Ovis aries: one gene and its partner. The protein of the gene in region 1 interacts with the protein of each later gene in a pairwise test. Links are inferred from orthologs where the notes say so. Each region holds a gene or a part of one and is shown in the gene's direction. Other genes may lie near its edges.

Evidence for each region.
Region 2: the proteins of EXOSC8 (region 1) and OTUD4 interact in binary tests that used the Homo sapiens proteins (3 or more experiments, as listed by UniProt). The two-hybrid records come from large-scale screens. The link is inferred for Ovis aries from reciprocal best matches to the Homo sapiens genes EXOSC8 and OTUD4.

The regions. Positions count from the first base shown.
Region 1 is NC_056063.1:24,979,652-24,984,060, reverse strand, and holds the start of EXOSC8 (exosome complex component RRP43), read left to right. Parts: upstream 1-1,325; 5' UTR 1,326-1,350; coding exon 1,351-1,367; intron 1,368-2,661; coding exon 2,662-2,698; intron 2,699-2,930; coding exon 2,931-2,994; intron 2,995-3,979; coding exon 3,980-4,053; intron 4,054-4,409. UniProt on the Homo sapiens protein: Non-catalytic component of the RNA exosome complex which has 3'->5' exoribonuclease activity and participates in a multitude of cellular RNA processing and degradation events.
Region 2 is NC_056070.1:13,174,857-13,179,332, forward strand, and holds the start of OTUD4 (OTU domain-containing protein 4), read left to right. Parts: upstream 1-1,535; 5' UTR 1,536-2,072; coding exon 2,073-2,231; intron 2,232-4,476.

The DNA.
Region 1 (4,409 bases):
ACACGCGGAAATGCGGCCGCGCAGCCCCGCCTCCAGCCCGCAGAGAGGCCATGCCAGCTGGGCGCCCGCCGCCCACAGCGCCACCTCGCGGCCAGACCCGGTCACGCCCGGGGACCCGCGCTGCCCACAGCGCCACCGCGTGACGAGACTATGTTGTGTGCGAGCGGCTCTGTTCAAACGCAGTAGGGTTGTCAAAATCAGCAAGGAGAAATAAACGGATGTCCACTTAAATTGAATTTCAGATAGCAACGGATCGGTTTTCAACAGCACTATTAAAGTATAACACACACTCAAAGTTCGCCCATTTAAGAGCTTTTTGTTATATTAACTTTGAAAAACTGATCAAATTTCCCATTTTAACCAGTTTATGTGTCTACTACAGGGACATTGACTGCACTCACAGCTTCCTGCAACCATCACTACCGCCTCTTGCTAAACCTTTCCCAGTTCTCCCCCAGCTTCTGGTAACAACTAACAACATGAACAATTTTGCGTGTACTCTTTGTTCACCTGACATTCAAATTGAATTGGATGTCCTGCGTTTTATCAGCAACCCTTTCTAGGAAGGAGGTGGAGTGGAGGTTTTGAGCCACGACACAGTCTACAACGAAAGTTGTTTCTTTGGAGCCCACTCTTGGCAGCTGCGTAATGTAACCTGATGTGGATAACCAGCGCACAGAATTTTTAAATTTTCGGTGCTCTAGCAGGAGGCTTTTACCTGGAAGAAGGCAAGCCCAGGGCTCAGCCTAAGGAGGAGGGGGAAAGAACGCGGAAACACTGGAATAATGCTCCACGCTCAACACTTGATTTTTTGCTATACCGTCGGTTTTCTCTGAAACTTTTGAATGGTGGGCTTCCTTGGTGGTTCAGCGATAAAGAATCCGCCTTCAATGCAGAAGACGCAGGAGACATGGGTTCCACTCCTGGTTTGGGAAGATCTTCGCAGTTTAGTATTCTTGCCTGGAGAATTCCAAGGACAGAAGAGGCTGGTGGGTTATAGTCCATCGGGTCGCGAAAAGTCTGATTCTACAGAAGAGACTAAGCACGCACGCTTGAACTATCAAACTGTTTCTAAACAAACACTCATAACTTTCGTAAAAGCCGATTCGCCAAAAACGTCAAGGTCAAGAAAACCTAAAGGGGCGACTGGCTAGGGGTGGTCGAAGCGAAGCCATGCGGGAAACCACCCTCACCTCTTCTACCTCTACTCTGGTCCATACAACCCTGCCTTCTACATATCAGGTAGCAGAATCAGTGTTGAAAGTGCTGAAGCGAAACAGCAGCGCGGGCCGGAGGGGTGGTGATACGCAGGCGCGGGCGCGGGCGCAGGCGCAGATCGGCGGGCGGAAGATGGCGGCTGGGTTCAAGTGAGTGCGGTAGGCTGGCGGGCGCGAGTTCGTAGCCTGGCGGTCGGCGGCTTCCCTACCCTTGGGATTTTCTCATCGGGAGGCCACCCCACCTGGTTCCCATTTGTTTCCACTGCAGAAGGAGACGTTGGGCGGGAGAACTGAAGGTGGTCGTAGTGAAGGGAAAGGGCGCATCTTCTCCCCAGTGATAGGAAGTACTGTGTTGAGCAGGTACCCGCTGCGAGCGCTAGGCTTTGTGTGTAGTGGACTTTGCTGCACAGGAGAGACACTTGTAATCTTGTAGAAAGCGTTGCTTCAAAACCTCAGGGCGCCCTGCTTTCTCTGCCCAGTAGTTTATGTGTAAAAGCATTCTGCCTCGTTAGAAAGGTTTTCCTTAAGCGTTTTCGGTGCTGCTCTCTGGGGAAGGCTATAGCTTTTCGTTCTGAGTCGAGTTTTAAATGGATGCAATAAATAGGATTCCAAAGGAAACCAGTTATATTGAAACGACCATGTATTTGTATAAACTCCGGGTTTTTGACACAGTGAAATATCTGTTTTGAAATTAACTTTCTTAGATAAGGCCTAGTGGGAAGTCTAAAGTAACTCCTGAAATTCGAAGTAACGATACGTCTTACACTTACCATAAAGTCAGGTCGCTCAGTCGTGTCCGACTCTTTGCGGGTCCCATGGACTGTAGCCTGTCAGGCTCCTCCATCCATGGGATTTTCCAGGCAAGAGCGCTGGAGTGGATTGCCATTTCCTTCTCCAGGGGATCTTCCCGACCCAGGAATCGAACCTGGGTCTCCCGCATTGCGGGCATACGCTTTACCGACCTTAGGCAACTATAAAGTAAAAACGAAAACATCTTAATCTGTGGTTGTTAAAGTCGCAGGTACGGCTAATATTATAGTGGTTTATTGCCTATGCTTGTAATCGAAGAATATGCTAAATTTAAGTCGGGGTAGTGAAAATAAATGCGTAATTTTTTTTTTTTTCCTACTAACGAAGTATTCCTGCTTCAAAGTATGAGTGATGCACACCTGGATTCATTCTCTTTTTAAAGAGGCCTAGGGTTTTGGTCTCGATCCTTATACTTGTTTAAAGCAGAATTAAAATCAGTCTTCGAGTGTGATTGTTATTGCAAAAGTAGCTACTTTTTATAATTAGCAACATGTGGCAACATAAACTAGAATTCATAACAGAAACTTAGTTACAAATTTTGGAGATTTCTGCTCCATCACCCCACTATTAAGATTGTTGTGTTTCTGGATTTATATTGATTTATAATTTATCTCATTTTTCTCATGTCTTTCAGAACTGTGGAACCTCTGGAGTATTACAGGAGATTTCTGGTAAGTAAAGGTGATTATGTGATGCCCTTTGATAATGGTATCATATGCTTTTTTCATAAATACAAGTATTAATCATGTTATTCACCTAATGTTCTAAGTATACTTCAGTTTTTAAAAGACAATTTTAAAGTAATACAGATTAATTTATTTGAATTAATGAGGTTCAGTGTGTTTTCCTTGGTCTGTGTAAGATATACATGTAGCTGTAATCTACTTTCATATATTTACTTAGAAAGAGAATTGCCGTCCCGATGGCAGAGAACTTGGTGAATTCAGAACCACAACTGTCAACGTAGGTGAGAGTACTTTGAGTTCTAAAAGAATGTTGAAGTTGCTTCAGTTCTGAAAATAGAATTTTTTTTCTTAATAGCAACTTTTTATTTGTAGAGTTTTTTTTAACTCACTCTCCTCTCATTAGTGGGCTTCCCAAATGTCTTGGTGCATCAAGAATCTACCTGCAATGCAGGAGACAGGTTTGATCCTTGGGTGGGGAAGATCTCCAGGGGAAGGAAATAGCAACCCACTGCAGTATTCTTGCCTGGAAAATCCCATAGACAGAGGAACCTGGCAGGCTACAGTTCATGGGGTCACAAAAGAGTCACATACGACTGAGCAGCTAAGCACATCCTTTCAGTTTTTATGTTCATATTAAATTTTAAAGTAACTCTGAAGTGTTTTCCCCCTTCAAAACTTGTAAGGTTTGGTTTCCTTCTATATCTTACATTATTAAATCTTCTGTTGCCAAACATGGAATTTTCCAATTTTACCCATATGACATTCCCAGGTTTTAGCCTCTGAGCCATTTAAACGGTGTTTTAGACAAATTCTACCAGGTCTAAGGGATTACAGTGATTTTTGTCAAGAAATTTTAATAACAGCCCTGTGATTAAATGACAAATGATTCACTCAAAATCAAGAAAATGAATAATTCCTAAAACAATTCGGTTGACCCTTGAACAGTGAGGGGGTTAGGAGCACTGACCTTCACAGAGTTGAAAATCCAAGTATAATCTTACCGTTATGGATTGGCACTCCGTATCCAAGGTTCAGCATCCTTAGATTCAACCAACTGTGGATCACGTAGTACTGTGGAAGTATGTATTGAAAATAATCTTTGTATAAGTGGACCTGTATAGTTCAAGCCCATGTTGTTTAAGGGTCAACTATAATTTTACCAAGACTCAAGCAAGGAGTAAATTTTCACGGACATCTTAGATATTTAGAGATAAAAATCATACATAAAAGAAGAAAACATTTTCATTTTAAAAAAATACTTTTCAGGTTCGATTGGTACCGCAGATGGTTCTTCTTTAGTGAAGCTTGGAAATACTACAGTAATTTGTGGAATTAAAGCGGTAGGTTTAATATACTTACTACCAAGATTTGAGTTACTAAGTTAGCTTCATATACTTAGTAGATTATAATATACATCTATAATTCTACTGTTGATTGGGCAGTCAGGTGTTTTAGTATTTGTTTTCATTTCCCAAGTTTTAACCTTTGAGTTTTAGATAATACAACCCAAGTTTAATGACTTAATTATAATTTGTGAACATTTGCAAATCTGCTGAAACAATTTTTTAAAAAATCCTCACTGCCTTTAATTTTTAAAGAATTTGGCTGTAATTTGAGAAATTTTAAGGTATTTTTGGTGACATATTTTTATCCAGTGATGGCATTTAATCTGTGCAAATGTGTAGAAAATTGCTCA
Region 2 (4,476 bases), on another chromosome or scaffold:
TCCATTCCTCTGTGGGTTTAAAAGGCAAGTCATTGTTTATAAAAAGAAAGTGCCATATTGTAAGTAGTGGTAAAACTGGGCAGTTCTTTCTGAGTGGAATGAGAGTGCAATCGTATGTTTTAAATTATATATATATTAAAGAAGGAAAAGCAACAGGTTTGACTTGAAACTAGGTTTTTCTAAAAGGGATTCTGCAGTGTATTTCTCTACAAAATGTACAAAATTCAATAGTGGGACAAGAAAATTCATTTAGGTCAGAATCCTTTTTTTGCTTTCTCTAAAAACAGCACCATTGGATATTTGAATTTTTAAACCTTAAGAAATCAAATCTAAACGTTCCAAGGAGAGTGAACACACGAGTCATTGTTTGCACCAAATACTGAAAACAGATTTCTCAAATAGAATTTTCAGTAATTTGCACTGGACTCTCACCATCTGGCCTGCCTTGCCCCCCATTCCAAAGAATCTGTTTGACCACATGTCTACATCTACAGTAATTCTTCCATCTCCCCAGCCCCACCCTGCCGCACCATGGCTTCAAGAGCAGATTTTATGATTAACCGTGTATTTAAAAGATTGGGATACCAGATGCTGTTGTACTTGAATAAAAATAAAATTCTGGTGTCACAAAAACAAGCCGGATAAATTCTAGGTTCTAAAGGCATACACTCTCATTCAACTTCTCAGGGTGGGAAGCTGAACAGGAATCCTCCAGCAAACACCGCTGGATCCCAGGGCACGTCCAGCACGCTATCCAACAATTAATTACAAGATGGTTTTCTAAAAAGGAAAAAAAAAAAAAAATCTTAAGTTTTTCCGACTAGCGACACCCCTTTGTGCTGGGGTGGGCAGCTATAGTGGCAGGGTGAACCAAAATGTTTGTGGCAAAGGCATCATCTTGCGATATACCGCCAGAGCTGTACTTCTAGTCTCGAATAGGAATCAGCAGTCCACGGCTGATTTATGGACAGCCTGTATCGCCCCGCACGATGCGAGTTCCAGGAGCCTTCGCCAATTAGGTCTATTTTCTGCTTAAGCCGTTAAAGCCACCTCCATGGAAACGTCAGGGGAAGAGGCCGGGGGGAGGGGAGCAGACAGGTGCGCCCTCTGTTTGGAAATACACAAAGGGCCGACCCAGCGGCCTCCGTGTCCCTGGCAACTCCACGCACGCAGAGCGCGCGCACATCCCGCAGGCCCGCGGCGCAGAGGGCGGGCGGCCGGCCGGGCGGGGCGGCGCGCGCAGGTCTCCGCGCAGACCCTCGGCCTGCTGGAGGACGCGCGGTGCCCGGGAAGCGTGAAGCCGGCTCCGGGCGGCGGCGGCGGCCGCGCTGTAGGGACTTGTAGTCCGCGCGCCTCCCGGGCGCCTCCCCCCGCCGGGTAGGCCGGCAGCGCGTCCCCGCCCGCCGCAGGCCGACTTCCTGCCGCTGCCCAAACTACACCTCCCGCCGTCCTCTCCGCGGTCGGGGCCGAAAGCGAAAACACATTCTGGGCTGCGAGGGTGCTGCCCTCCCGCCGGGCGCCCCCGCCCACTCCCCGCCCCTCCGGCGCCCTCCTGCGAGGTGGGGAGACGGTCAGGCCGCGCCTTTCTCTCTCGGCTTCTTCGGCTCCCGGTGTGGGGCCCACAGGCCTCGCTTTCACCAAGAGTCTGGGCCGGCGCGCTCGGGTTGCGGGGGCTTCCTCGCTTCCGCCGGGTCTGGCGAGGAAACTTCTGTGTGTGTGTGGGGGCGGGACCCCGGGGCCCCAGTGGCTGAGCCGAGCGGCGAGGCCCGCGTCAAGTGACTGCTCGCTTGCGGGTTTTGGTGAATTCCCCGCCTCGTTTCCCCCGGGCGCGTGGCCCCGCGGGAGGCGGCCGCGTGCGCCCGGCCATGCACTAGGCAGGGCTCCCTATGCGCGCGGACCGCCGCCTCGGGCCGCCGCCGCCGCCTGCCGCCGCCCGCCCAGCGCGAGCCGGAGCCCGAGCCCGAGCCCGAGCCCCAGCCGCTGCCCGCCCCCGGCCGGGGCGTCCAGGAGCCGGCGGCGCGGCCATGTGGGGCTAGCCCGCGCCGCGCCGGGCCTGCTGCGCGACCGGCAACATGGAGGCTGCCGTCGGCGCCCCCGACGGCGGCGACCGGGGCGGCGCGGCGCCCCGCGAGGACGCGACTCCCATGGACGCCTATCTGCGGACCCTGGGCTTGTATCGGAAACTGGTCGCCAAGGACGGGTCGTGCTTGTTCCGAGCCGTGGCGGAGCAGGTAACGGGGCGGGGGCCGGAGGGGGCGATCGGCGGGGGGCCGGGTGGGAAGTGGCGGGCGGGCTGCCCGCCCCCCCTCAACCCGGGCTGCGCGTGGCCCCGCAGGCGTCACAGCGGCCCATTGTCGCCCCGGAACCGGACGCTGCCCTGGGACTGGGAGCTCCGAATCGAAACTTAAAAACCTGTAAATGATCTGGGTGTCGTCCCTCCTGGCGAAGAGGTAATGAGTTGAAGCTAGCCCGTGAGGCCTGCCGGAGAGTCTGCACCCTAGCTGAAGGGGTGGGAACTTGGCGAAATGCTGTTTTTCGCCTCCCCTTTTGGCTTTACAAGCACAGCGTTCACACCAGTAAGCAGAATGTTTACTAGAGGAGGTGGTGCACCAGACTCGACTCGTGGGATCATGATCCAGCCCCCCCCCCCCCGCCCCGCCCGGTTACTGGACTTTGGAGCGTGGGGTAGCCAAGCCCGCGGATGTCCGCCTGAGTCAGGAGTGGGGGAAATGTGCAGTTTGGGAAAACCAGACTTTAGAAAATGTAGAATGTTTGCACAGAATTGTCTTTGAGTAGATTTCACCTTGTTTTAATGTCCTGCAAGGCAGTGTAGGTGAACTAAAAGCAAATAATTGACTTAGAAAAAGTGTTTTAAAGTTGCTAGTGGGAAGGAAGACTGTATCTGGGGTCCTTTAGGTCTTTGGCCGAATTTTTCCCCCTTACTGATTAAAATCACTTTGTAATATAGTCCTTGGGAGGATGTTTCTGATTTATTTTTTTGGTAAGAGAGCTTATTCCCTATTATGTAACACTGTAGTTGGTAGGTATGCAGCCACCCAGATCCATCCTGTATTAAGAAATAGCTGTTGAATTAGTTGGACATAAATTTCATATTGCTGTCCTGGTGTGTATTTCCTACCGTTTTCCTTTGCTTTCCTTTGGCCTAAGATCTACCCCTTTCCTCTCCTGCCCCCCTTTGGAGTTTTTCTGTTTCTCTCACCCTTTTTAATGCTAAGTAGCTTTCGGAATTTCTTTTTGTGAGTAAATGTTTTCCTAAACATCTATAGACCAGTCTATTGTTTTTTTTCAAAGTCCAAAGGCCTGCCACTTATTTTCCAAAGGCCCTCGTTTTCACATCAGTAGCATAAGATATTCTTTTTTTTTTTTTTTTTTTGGAAACAAGAAATTGGTGTAGCTGGTCCAAACCTTTGCATTTTGCGGCTGGCATTGTCATTCATTCTTCGCAAAGCTCCCCAAACTGAGCTGTGTCTTTTTCAGTTCAATTGATTTCTCTTATTTTTGGAATTTTTTAAGATGTTCTAATGTTGCTTTGGGAGATGTTTACACAAACAGATCCCAGTCCTTACTATTAGTAGGTAAACAGTCTGTCCCATTGTTGAGTTTTCGGGATCACCATCTGTCCTGCTTCATCCGCCTCAGCCTCCTGAGTCTCCTCATCACCTCCAGAAGCAGAGGGAAGATGTGGAAGTGAATTCAGTCCCTATTGAAACATATTATTGGCTCTAGCAAGAGTTTGGTAAGGAAAGAGGTGGAAGCAAATAGAAATACGAGAAGTATGGTGCTTATTTGGAGTTGGATTATACACATCATAGTTTATATTGAAGCAGAAAGGTGTGGCTGGTTTCAGAACTACATACCACAGGTAATTGGCAAACTCGATTGTATAGACTCTCTTTTTAAGTAGAAATGAACAATAGCTAGCTGGTTACACGAAGAGCTCATTGCTAACAATAGTTAATGCATTTTATTATATCTCACTGTGATGGGATTTAAATTAGGCGTGAGGGAATGTCCCTTCCACTTACGGAAGGCTGACTTTTAGTACACTGAGCTTATAGAAAGTTTGTTGCGGTGACTCTTGGAGCAAACTCTGTTCTTCGGTAGACATGGACCACAGGTGTAGTCTTCATGGCCAAAGGTGGCGTGTGTGTTGGTGGTGGGGAGGGAAGTAACGGCATCCTCAGGCTGCCCTTCAACAGTGTGCACAAAGGATTTACTTTTTGCCAACAATTTCTCCAGTAATATTAGAATAACTACCATTTCTACCAGGGAGTCACAGTAAGTGATCTAAATGGCAGCCTTTGGCGGGGAAAATGCAGGGGGAGAGACTTGATTTAGCCAGAGTCTTCCCCTCCAAATTACCTGATTTAAATAACCCCTTCCCTTTTTACGCTTCTGGCCTGTGGCCTGCAGGAGGCCTGACCTGAATCAGCTCTGTGGCCCTGGAGCTAAAAA